Cricetulus griseus: one gene and its partners. The protein of the gene in region 1 interacts with the protein of each later gene in a pairwise test. Links are inferred from orthologs where the notes say so. Each region holds a gene or a part of one and is shown on either strand. Other genes may lie near its edges.

Region 1 (3,651 bases):
GAACCCAGAAAAGACCATCTGGACAAGAGATGCCCATGATGCTCTTCTCCCTGCATCTCCTGGGCATGGCTAGAGTTGGGTGGGGCTTCTGCTGCCTTCAGTGTGTGAAGCTCTGACCCTAATGACTTCTCAGTAAAGAAGTTTCCCATTGCTTTGCAGCACCATCAACATCAAGCCGCCCAAGCTCTTCATCTGGCCAGTCCACAGCAGCAGTCAGCCATTTACCACGCGGGGCTGGCACCAACCCCACCTTCCATGACACCTGCTTCCAATACACAGTCTCCACAGAGCAGTTTCCCAGCAGCACAACAGACGGTCTTCACCATCCACCCTTCTCATGTTCAGCCGGCATATACCACCCCTCCCCACATGGCCCACGTACCTCAGGTAAACCAGCACTAGCCAAGTTTCTGTGAAGGCCACGTAGGGTGTGGTGGTTGTCAGATAAGCAGCAAGGAGCCAGATGCTCCCCAAGCCAGGAAACCCTATGTGTGGTGCCATCTGCCTGTCTCCCCCTCCCTGCTTAGTATGTGATCTTCTGGCCCTCAGTGAATGTTGCTATGATTTTGTGATGGGATCAGTGAAATTGTGACTTAGCAATTCCCAGCTGAGACCTTAAAACTCTGAGTCTGGAATGCACCCCAGTCCTTTCCTTTCTGTGTCTGCTTTGCTCCGTCTTTCTAGCTTAACCACTATGTGTCTATGTGTCCACACACAGACACCTCTACACATGCACACATGGGAGCCCGGAAGGGATGGCAGGCAGGCTTTCAATGGTTCTCAGCTCTCTGAGGTGACTGCACTAGGCCTGTTAGCTTGAATGTTAGACACACGAATTCCGGGACGGGTCTCAGTTGTTTGCCTGGTTACCCTCTATCTGCTGCAATCCTGTGTTGTGCTTCCTGAGCGCTTGGCCTTGGACTATGGTGCAGTGTAACTGAAGCTCCAGGGCAGCCCAGGGCCAGGGGAGGCCTCCATGGCTCTTAGTGTGAGGTGGCTGCATCAGGTGTCTCTGCTACTTTGATTGTAGCTGCCTGAGGCGGGTCTCACTTAGGTTTACTGAATGACTCCATTTCCTGTCACAGTGCGCCAGTGAGGCTCTGGCAAGGTGTGAGCTAGGGATGCTGTGCAGTTGGGTCTCTTGCAGAAGGCTAGTTTGTTACTAGGTGTTCTTTCCCCAGAGCTAAGGGTCTGTAGTATATACTCCTGTTGATTGGCTGGTGACAGTTGGGAGGGGAGCCAGTTTGGTCAGTGTGCTTTGGTGGAGTGAAACTTAAGAGAGCCAGGGTCCTGTAAGTGTCTAGCAGAGGCTGCGAATTTACTTTAAGATGGGCTATCCCCAAACCTCAATTGTGTGTTTGTGTAGAAGGGTAAGAGGCTTAACATAGGGAAAACAGAGAACCATGGGCCTGTTTGAAGGTGTGAACCAGCACTTCGCTGGGGTGATGGTCTAGAGCAATGCACACGATGGGAGGCAGGAAGCAGCCTCTTCCTGCTCTGCCCACTCCCTGCAGAGCTGAGGTCGAGCTCACCAACCGGTCAACCAACATCACTTTTCTAAGTTAGACTTGTTGCCACTTGGTACAGGACACCAGGCTGACCCAACTTCAGATCATTCTCATCTCATTGGAGCCATTAACTGCACCCTTTGCTCCATCAGCCAAGCTATTACATTGAGGGGCCTAAGTGCTGCTTCATTGTTTCTGGGGAACCCATCACGACTTGGGGAGGGCGGAAGAGGAGAGACTCAGGAAGCTGCTATGGGTGCTGGGGAGGTAGTCTCCTCACAGGCCCTTCCTTGTCAGTTGCTTTCTGACTTGAAAAGGGCATTGATGTATTTGGCTCCATGCCATAGCAAGTTAAGTATGTGCCCCTCCCGCCCCAATAGAGGCCTGCTCTTGGTGAAGACCTTGCCCTGTGTGATAATCTGTGAGCAGGCACTGGGGACTAGGAAGATGTGGCCAACTTTCCCATCCCAACCCTACAGGATCTGCCTCAAGGAGTCCATCTTGCCCCTTCTTGAGTCCCAGTCCAATGAAAGGAACAGTTGACTTGTTGTTTAAGACGGAGATGTTGCCTGTATGCGTAAAAGAGCTCTCTGTTTCAGGCTCATGTACAGTCAGGAATGGTTCCTTCTCATCCAACTGCCCATGCGCCAATGATGCTAATGACGACACAGCCACCCGGCGGTCCCCAGGCCGCCCTCGCTCAAAGTGCACTACAGCCCATTCCAGTCTCGACAACAGCGCATTTCCCCTATATGACGCACCCTTCAGGTGAGGCGTGTGTGTGCAGGGGCCGCCGGGGCACCCCGAGCATTCTGCTCGCACAGGTAGAATGGCAGGCAGGACCAGTGAGTGTTTCAGGCTCCAAACCTGACTAATAAGGCCCGTCCAAGTGTTTGCAGGAGGGATTGTGATGGTCAGGGAGCATCAGGGCTCAGGGCCTCTGGAGCTGAGTCTGTGTGTGTTCTGCTGGTATCAGGGTTGGCTTGAGAAGCAGCAGCCTCATTCTGGGTAGCTGATGCATGCCGAGGACTCAGTTGGCCTTCCTGGTTATGTATGACAGGCTGGACAGGGCAAGCGTGTTCCTTCCTGAGTCCCTATAGGCTGATGTGGGGGGTTTATACCCATGGCCGACTTTGATTGTAGCTTGGAGAACACTGATGAGCTGTGTGCGGACTGGATTGAGTGTAGTTTTAGCCCCAGCCTGTGCCCTGACACAGGACACCCATGATGTCTCGTACTGGATGGCTGCTGTGGCAATACCTGTCTCCCCTGTGACTTGGAAAGTATTGGTGCTTGGCTAGCATTAGTGGGAGGGGGTTTGAAGGCCTGTGCTCCTGCCCCACAAGCAGCAAGTCCAGGACTTGTATCTGAAGTGGTTTCACGTCTGACTGGTTTGTTTCTCCTCACCCCCTTCCCTCCCCAACCCCACCTTGGCTGCAGCTGGGGGGAGAGGGGCGCTAGCATTAAACCTCCAGTGTTACTCAGCAGGAGAGTAGATGACAGTCATGTGCTGCAGACACTAGGTTGGTGGGCAGTGGTGCCTGTGTTCTGTTTAAATAGCCACTTTTCTTTTTTACAGTACAAGCCCACCACCAACAGCAGTTGTAAGGCTGCCCTGGAGGAACCGAAAGGCCAAATTCCCTCCTCCCTTCTACTGCTTCTACCAACTGGAAGCACAGAAAACTAGAAGTTCATTTATTTTGTTTTTTAAAAAAATACACTGATTTAACATCCGATAGGAATGCTAACAGTTCACTTGCAGTGGAGGATGTTTTGGACCGAGTAGAGGCATGTAGGGACTTGTGGCTGTTCCATAATTCCATGTGCTGTTGCAGGGTCCCGCAAGTACCCAGCTCTGCTTGCTGAAACTGGAAGTTATTTATTTTTTAATGGCCCTTGAGAGTCATGAACGCATCAGCTAGCAAAAGAAGTAACAAGAGTGATTCTTGCTGCTATTACCGCTTTAAAAAAAAAAAAAAAATCAAGACTTGGAACGCCCTTTTACTAAACTTGACAGAAGTTCAGTAAATTCTTACCGCCAAACTGACGGATTATTATTTATAAATCAAGTTTGATGAGGCAATCACTGTCTACAGTGGTTCAACTTTTAAGTTAAGGGAAAACTTTTACTTTGTAGATAATA
Region 2 (3,651 bases), on another chromosome or scaffold:
GCATAGCTCTTTCTTTCTATGTATTTTTGAGTTGTTTGAGCCTTGGAAGCAGAGGCCACATCTACTGGTTCCCAGCACACAGTTCACATCCTGGACTAGGGGTGGGAGTGGGGCTGGAAAGTTCCGGTTTCCAACAGTGATAGATAATCCAGTTTGGGTCTGACTTGCCTTTGCACTCATTAGTAACTACTCTCAGTACTTTCCCTGGGTACCCACTGTTTGCAGGTACCACGTGTAGTGGTGCTGTTGTCTGTCAAACGTTTAGGGGTTCTGGGTTCCATTGCCTCCCCAAAGTCAGCTATCAATTGAAGAATTCCAGATGCAGCTCCAGATGTCAGAGAAACAGTTGGTGATCCCCATTCCCATTTGCAGAAGGTTAGCCATTTAAGTTTCATAAATGACAAGCTTAGTTCAAAGAAGTGGGTACAAACAGACTTATTACTAAAGACAGAGGGGCCATAGCAGTTCTTACTGAGTGTGCAGTTTCAGGGTTGCAAGGAAGCAGCATTGTTTCATAGCAGATTCTGCCATGATCATGTCAGGCTGTGGCGCTGGCCTTGTTAAAAGTGTTCTTAAAAGCCAAGGAGGTGAAACTTAAGAAATCCTTAGGATTTTGCAGGGGCCAGACTGTCTTTGTTTTGTTTATTGGGTTTTTGGAAATGGAAAGCCCATGCTGCTTTTCTAGCCACAGAGCATGGTGAAGTAAGTGCAATGCCAGGGCTTGCCTTAGTCATGTGCCCATTGCGTTCCTGGCATGAGTGGGAACCATGTATGTTGTAAATGCACATTAAACCCATGTTTAAAATAAGTGGGTGGTAAAAGTAAAGGGCAGGCAGCTGAAAGAGTTCTCAACAATACATGGAGGCAGCATGGATCTGTGGAAGCCAGCAAGTCCTCAGGTGGCTATGTGGGAGACAAGAGACTACAGAGTGAGGAAGCAGCCAGGTTTTGCCCCAGACTGGTTGGAAGACCTGGGACACATAGTTTTGATTTGTATCTCTGTCTGGAGCTGGAATATCAGAGATTTGGGGTGGGCATGGGGTGGATGGGTTGGGGAATTGCCTCAATCCTCTGGACCTTGCTATAGAAGGTTCTAGAAATAAACTTAATCCTTATTTCCTGTAGTGGTTCTTGAACCCACTGATAAGCAGGAAACTCTCAGGCCCCCTTCAGCTCTGCAGATCTTTGGGCTTGTCAGTTTGTGGGAAAGGGGAACAGTGGAGTCTGCACTGCTCATCCCTTTCTGCTGTGTGTTTCAGGAGAAAGACTTTGTTGGATGGTAACAGAAACACAGGGACAAACAATTCATTGGCCTGGAGCAGGTGTGACCTGCATGCTGCCCCTGCTTTCTCTGGTCATGGGTTCATTGGCTTTGTTTCTTATTCTGACTTAACTAGAAAGCACTCACAGAGACATGCCATTAAGAAAGCTCATCTCTCAAGCATTGGTTTCACTTACAGTTGGGCAAACTCTCTCCCACTGTGGTGGTTTGAAAGAAAGTGGCCCCCAAAGGGAGTGACAATATTAGGAGGTATGTCTTTGTTGGAGTATGTGTGGCTTTATTGAATGAAATGTGTCATTGTGGAGGTGGGCTTTGAAGTCTCATATATGCTCAAGCCCAGTGTCTCAGACCGCTTCCTGTTGCTTGTGAGTCAAGATATAAGAACTCTCAGCTCCTTCTCTGCCTGCATGCTGCTCTGCTTCCTGCCTTGACAATAATGGACTAAACCTCTGAACTGTAAGTAAGCCACCATGATTAAATGTTTTCCTTTATAAGAGGTGCTGTGGTCATGATGTCTCTTCCCAGCAATAATACTCTAAGCCACCTGCCATCTTCAGATCCACGTGTTTTAGGGCATTGAGAATAATTGTAAGAATATCATTCTATAACTTTAAAATGGTGTTTGGTTGGAATTACAGTGGATTCATGATCACAGATCAATTTGGCAGTGTTTTTCCAGCCTCTCCAGCTCCATGTGACCCTCATCATGACTGTAGGGCTCCGAGGTGGATGAGATGAGATGGACTGGACCAGGGCTGAGGCTGCCCTACAGAGATGAGCTGTTGTCACCAGGTTTCCTGTTTGCTCTGGACATCCCAAGAGCTCTGGCCAGCATGGAGTAACTTTGTATTTCTATCACAGATAGAGCAAGTCAGCCAGCTGGCCGTGTTTGTAGAGGCAGCATTAGACTATCACAAGCAGTCCACAGAGATCCTCAAGGAGCTACAGAAGAAGCTAGAGTTGCGGTAAGCACTTTTGCTTTGCTTAGGCAGGGGGCTGCAGAGTGCAGCCACCATCTGTCCTCTAGCCCCTTCTGCCCATTCTGTTTGGAATTCTCAAGCTGGCTTTCAGGTTGGGTATGAGATGAGGCTAAGATAATATATATGTAGCTTGGGACAAGAGGGCAGAACAGGGTAAAGGGCTGGAATGGCTTCCCTCCTTTTTCTTTTTATTAATGTCCCTCCATTTGTGACCCATCCTGCCTGAGCTCCTGTGGCTTCCTTGCTGCTTGACAAAGGGTTCACTCTGTTTACCTGTTGAGAGGTGGAGTGTGTGCTGAGAGAGCCAGATGACACTCAGAACTATATAAAAATGTTATCAGGCTGTGCTCAATGATAGCCTCTAAATGATAAGAAATACTGTTCTCTGCCTTGGGACTTTTATGGTCTGTGCAATTCCTACTTTCTGAAAATCAGTAATATCATTTACAGTGTGCACAGCAGCCCCATTAATCAAATTATTGGGCTAAACCTACACTATGTTTTGATTAGGCTTTATAACAGAAAATTGTTTTACATAGGATTATAGTAATGAATAAATTTGGAGAGATTTTTTGCTTCAGTTGGTGCTGTAGTTACACAGGGGAGGCCATTCCAGAAGCATCCACTTCTGTAGGCAGGTGGCCTTCTTCTAGGTGTCATATGAACATATTTGGATGGTTCCCTCTCCAGCAGAGAGGAAAGAAGGCAGCTAGCCTATGGCAGTGTCTGCTAGGCCTCAGGGACATTATGAGGACATTCTTCCCGGTGAATTTCAACTAGAAACTAAAGTACACAATGGAAGAACTGCACACCGCTCATATCCCTGACACTCGGGGTGCCCAGAAGTCAGTGTACACAATCCTTGTTCTCACAATCTCATTGGGTCTGGTGGTCTTCAAGAATAGCAAAGGCCTGTTGGTGGCTCTACTGTCTGGGAAAAAGGTCTGACTTGGCCTCTCCCATGTGTATTACAGAATATCGGTTACCTCCAAAGAGGCCAAGCGAGAATATATGCCAAAGCCTGTGAACACGAGCTCCAGTGATATCAATGGAGTCTCTTCCAGCACGACATCAAAGATGTCAGGTAAGTTAGCCGTCTGAGTGTGCCCAGTGGGCTCTCCAGTTAGGTGCTTTCACCCTTGTATGTTGGTGAGGCTGTTGGTGGGAATGCACTGAGAAACCGGTGGGCTTTCCTCAGTTGATTGATGAGTTCCCCTTTTCCCAGTTCCATTGTGAGGTATTGAAATTTTGAAAGCCAGTACTGGGAAGAAGTCCCTTGTGTACTAATGTTGTTAGACATCCGCTTGGCTAAATACCCATAGCTGCTATGTTATTTTCTATATTTAAAGGTCTACACCTTCAAAATAGCTTCCTACTTGTTAGAAAGTT
Region 3 (3,651 bases), on another chromosome or scaffold:
CTCCTGTTGACAGCACTTATTGATGTGTGTGCCCTGCAATTCTTGTAGAAGGACTAAAGTCACATGTAACTGTCCACAGAAAAGGGGTGTGGCCACTAATTGCTGAGCTTAATTGCCTGCCTTCCTTAATTTCTTCCTTCCTTCCTTGCTTCCTCCCTCTTTCCCTGCCTTATTCCGTCCCTCCTTCCCACCCTTCTTCTACCCCCTTTCTTTTTGACTGTACACTTGAATCTCCTGAGGCCACTGAAGTTTTGGACCTCTAGTCTACTGCTTCTTATGCATTTTGCATATGTGTATGCAGAGTGTGGGAAGGGTGTTGGAGTTATGGGGGTGGAGGTGGAGGGAGGGAGATGTTTCCAGAAATGGAAACATTTGAATTCAGGTTTTTTTTAATTCTTTTGACTTGACTGTAATTATCATGCATGTTTAGGCTATAACTGAAGGGTGAATTGTTATATAATCACACACACACACACACACACACACACACACACACACACACACACACATATATATATATATATATATATATATATATATATATATAAGACAGGGTGAGGGGCATTGATTAATGAGTCTCAGAGTTAAATCCAGAATCTGAAAGGGAGAAAGTAGGGATATCACAGGGTTTCTCTAAATTAAGGCCTAAATTTCCATTGGCTGCTTTTATCACAGATATGCATACAATAATAACACACACACACACACACAGAGAGAGAGAGAGAGAGAGAGAGAGAGAGAGAGAGAGAGAGAGAGATCTTTACTAGGGCCCTTCAAAAGTACCTAACAATTGAAATCAGTCCAAATGCTTCTCTCAAGCACACACTCAGTGTTCTTGGCACTGTATCAAATTGGGACTCCAGTGTCACCATAGATGACACAATGTTAACCTCTTCCAAAATTGAGGTGAAACAAAGAGGATTTTCCAGTGGTAGACAGACCCTACAGTCTTAGCCAATCAGGTGTACAGATCATGTAGTCTCCGCAAGTTTGATTGGAGTCTTGGGGAAAGTGACTTCATCATTGTGTGCCTTGATTTTTCCATCTATACATCGAGAATAATGATGACTGCTGTTTGCTCACAGTGACTTCCTGAAGGTTTGGCTGGGGTGGTCCCTCTTGGGCTGGAGGTCTTCAGCTGGACCCTAGGAAGTGTGCTGGGACTTGAATCCCTGGGCTCTTTTGAACAGTTCTGTTTGCAGAGCAATAATAGTGTTCTGTCTTTTTTTTCCTCTCTCAGGGTAATCAGGAAGCAGCGGCCGCCCCTGACACAATGGCTCAACCTTATGCCTCAGCCCAGTTTGCTCCACCTCAGAATGGCATCCCCGCAGAATACACGGCCCCTCATCCCCATCCCGCGCCAGAGTACACCGGCCAGACCACCGTCCCCGACCACACATTAAACCTGTATCCTCCTACACAGACGCACTCGGAGCAGAACGCTGACACAAGTGCGCAGACCGTCTCCGGCACCGCCACAGTAAGTGGATGCTGCATCCTAGACCTGGAGGGTGCTGTTCCCAAGCAGGTGCCCCAGTCCTGCTGCTGGTAGTGAACCATGTACACTGTGTGCTAGAGATCTTGTCAAGCAAAGCAGCTCTATTCCTCTCCTTATATTACCAACTTTCCAGTGACTGGGCATCCTTCCTTACTAGTTAGAACATGTTTCCATTTGCCATATTTATTTGTAAATGGACATAGGCATCTATTTTCCTGTCTCTAAAGTGATGAGTTGAACACAATGCTATCCCAGTAGAGTGCATACTTTTAAGCTATTTCATGGAAATATGGGGGTCAGGGGATGTAGCTCAGATATAGAGTGCTTGTTTGGCATGTCCAAATTCTTGGGTTTAGTCTTCAGCACTGTAAAACCAGCAACAACAAAAAACACAACTTGGACACATAACTTAGCCACCACAAATTTATCTGTTTTAGGTGTATGGTTTGCTGGTTTTAAGAACATTTACACAGCTGTGTAACCATTGCCAAATTTTGATGTTAGAACATTTTTTAATCAATCCTAAAACAAAGCTTGGGCCCATTTGCAGGCCAGCCATCTTTATTCTTGGGTGAGTTCATTTGAGTCTCATTTATATTTGTATCTATGTGTCCTTAGTTTGTGATGTGTTGTTTGTGCATTGGATCATATCAAGTAATCAAGAATGGCCTTCAGCTTTCTGTGTGGGGTGGAAATAAGCTTGAACTAAGCCTCTTCCCTGAGCCTAAGTGCTGGGATTGCAGGGATGCCCTATCATGTCCAGTTTCTGCAGTGCTAGGAACAGAACCCAGGGCTTGGTGCATGCTAGGCCAGCACTCTCCTAGCCAAGCTATACCATCTAGCTGTAGTCTGTGGGAGTTTGTTGCTAGTACATAAAGAAGGGATAGATATGAGGGATTATTAGTTGGGCAGGAAAAGTGTTAATCCTTAAGAAATATAAACAGAAAGATGGACTTGATGGATAAGAATTAAGCAAGCAATCAGAAGGCAGAGACAAAATTTTATAGCCACCCTATGTGAAATCTAGTAGTGGGATGGTAATCAAACATGACTGTGGGCACCAATATTTACATTAAAATTAGATGCTCATCTATGAACCACCTATAATAATTAAGGATCTGTAAACCTGTATAGTCCATGTTGTGGAAAACTTCCTCTGCAAAATTCATTAGAGATGCAAATAAGCTCTAGCATGTAGCATTTTACTGGTGTAAGGCAATGCTGCCTCTTCCTTCCACCCTCAAGGGCCTGGAAACCCAGAATCCTGACACTGAACATACCTGTGTTGGGCACATGTGTAAGTAGCTCCCATCTTTGTACTGCTGAATACCTATTTCATTGCATGGACATACCACAGCTTGTTTTTCCATTGTGCATAGATATGTGGGTTGTTCTCTCTCCATGGTAACTCACGGAAAATTAAAACTAATGTGAACACAAGTAAGCATGTCAAGTGCAAAACAGAAGAGAAGCAAGAATAGGTGTGTTAAAGTATAAAGAAACAGAGACAAACACTTTCTTGAGACTTTCATTTTCTAAATATGTATGACCTTCATTTTCTCCCTGTAACAACTGAGAGTGAGGGGTGGTATTTGGAAATGAGGGAGAGTGATTTGGGATTTGGGCAAAGATGCCAGGAAAATGCTCTGAAAAATATCCTAGAATATTTGAAAGCATGGAAATCCTGAGTTTAGAAAGCATGCTTTTGTGGTGGGGCTGGCCATTGCTTTGTCTTCCCTGGTCCTATTTAAATGATGCACACTATAGGAGAGGAAGTAATAGAAGATAGATACCATCTTTTCTGCTTCAAACAGTTATATGCAGATTCTTTCCTCTCTTTGGCCAAAAAGGAAGGTACTTATATGTGTCTGGGTATATACCCATGAAGAGGTCAAAGGAACTCCTTGAATGTCCTCTATGGCTCTCCACCCTAGTCTCTTGAGACAAGGTCTATCACTGGACCTGGAACTCACTGTCTTTTCAGGTAGGTTGACAGGCCATCAAGTGCCAGCAGTGTTCTTATCTCCAGCCCCCACTGCCCCAGTGTCAGAGGCACACTGTGGTCACACCTGGCTTTTATACATTCAGACTGGGAACAGAACTCAGGTTCCCAGGCTTATACACACATGCTCCTGCCTGCCAGTCCTTCTCTC

The links.
Region 2: the proteins of Atxn2 (region 1) and Sh3gl3 interact in binary tests that used the Homo sapiens proteins (3 or more experiments, as listed by UniProt). The link is inferred for Cricetulus griseus from reciprocal best matches to the Homo sapiens genes ATXN2 and SH3GL3.
Region 3: the proteins of Atxn2 (region 1) and Rbfox1 interact in binary tests that used the Homo sapiens proteins (3 or more experiments, as listed by UniProt). The link is inferred for Cricetulus griseus from reciprocal best matches to the Homo sapiens genes ATXN2 and RBFOX1.

What each region holds. Positions count from the first base shown.
Region 1 is NC_048597.1:101,660,475-101,664,125, forward strand, and holds the end of Atxn2 (ataxin-2), read left to right. Parts: intron 1-159; coding exon 160-387; intron 388-2,107; coding exon 2,108-2,276; intron 2,277-3,087; coding exon 3,088-3,116; coding exon of another isoform or gene 3,117-3,195; 3' UTR 3,196-3,510; downstream 3,511-3,651. UniProt on the Homo sapiens protein: Involved in EGFR trafficking, acting as negative regulator of endocytic EGFR internalization at the plasma membrane.
Region 2 is NC_048596.1:115,310,341-115,313,991, reverse strand, and holds part of Sh3gl3 (endophilin-A3), read left to right. Parts: intron 1-2,143; coding exon 2,144-2,247; intron 2,248-3,236; coding exon 3,237-3,346; intron 3,347-3,651. UniProt on the Homo sapiens protein: Implicated in endocytosis. May recruit other proteins to membranes with high curvature.
Region 3 is NC_048600.1:39,428,630-39,432,280, reverse strand, and holds part of Rbfox1 (RNA binding protein fox-1 homolog 1), read left to right. Parts: intron 1-1,237; exon of another isoform or gene 1,238-1,240; coding exon 1,241-1,480; intron 1,481-3,651. UniProt on the Homo sapiens protein: RNA-binding protein that regulates alternative splicing events by binding to 5'-UGCAUGU-3' elements. Regulates alternative splicing of tissue-specific exons and of differentially spliced exons during erythropoiesis.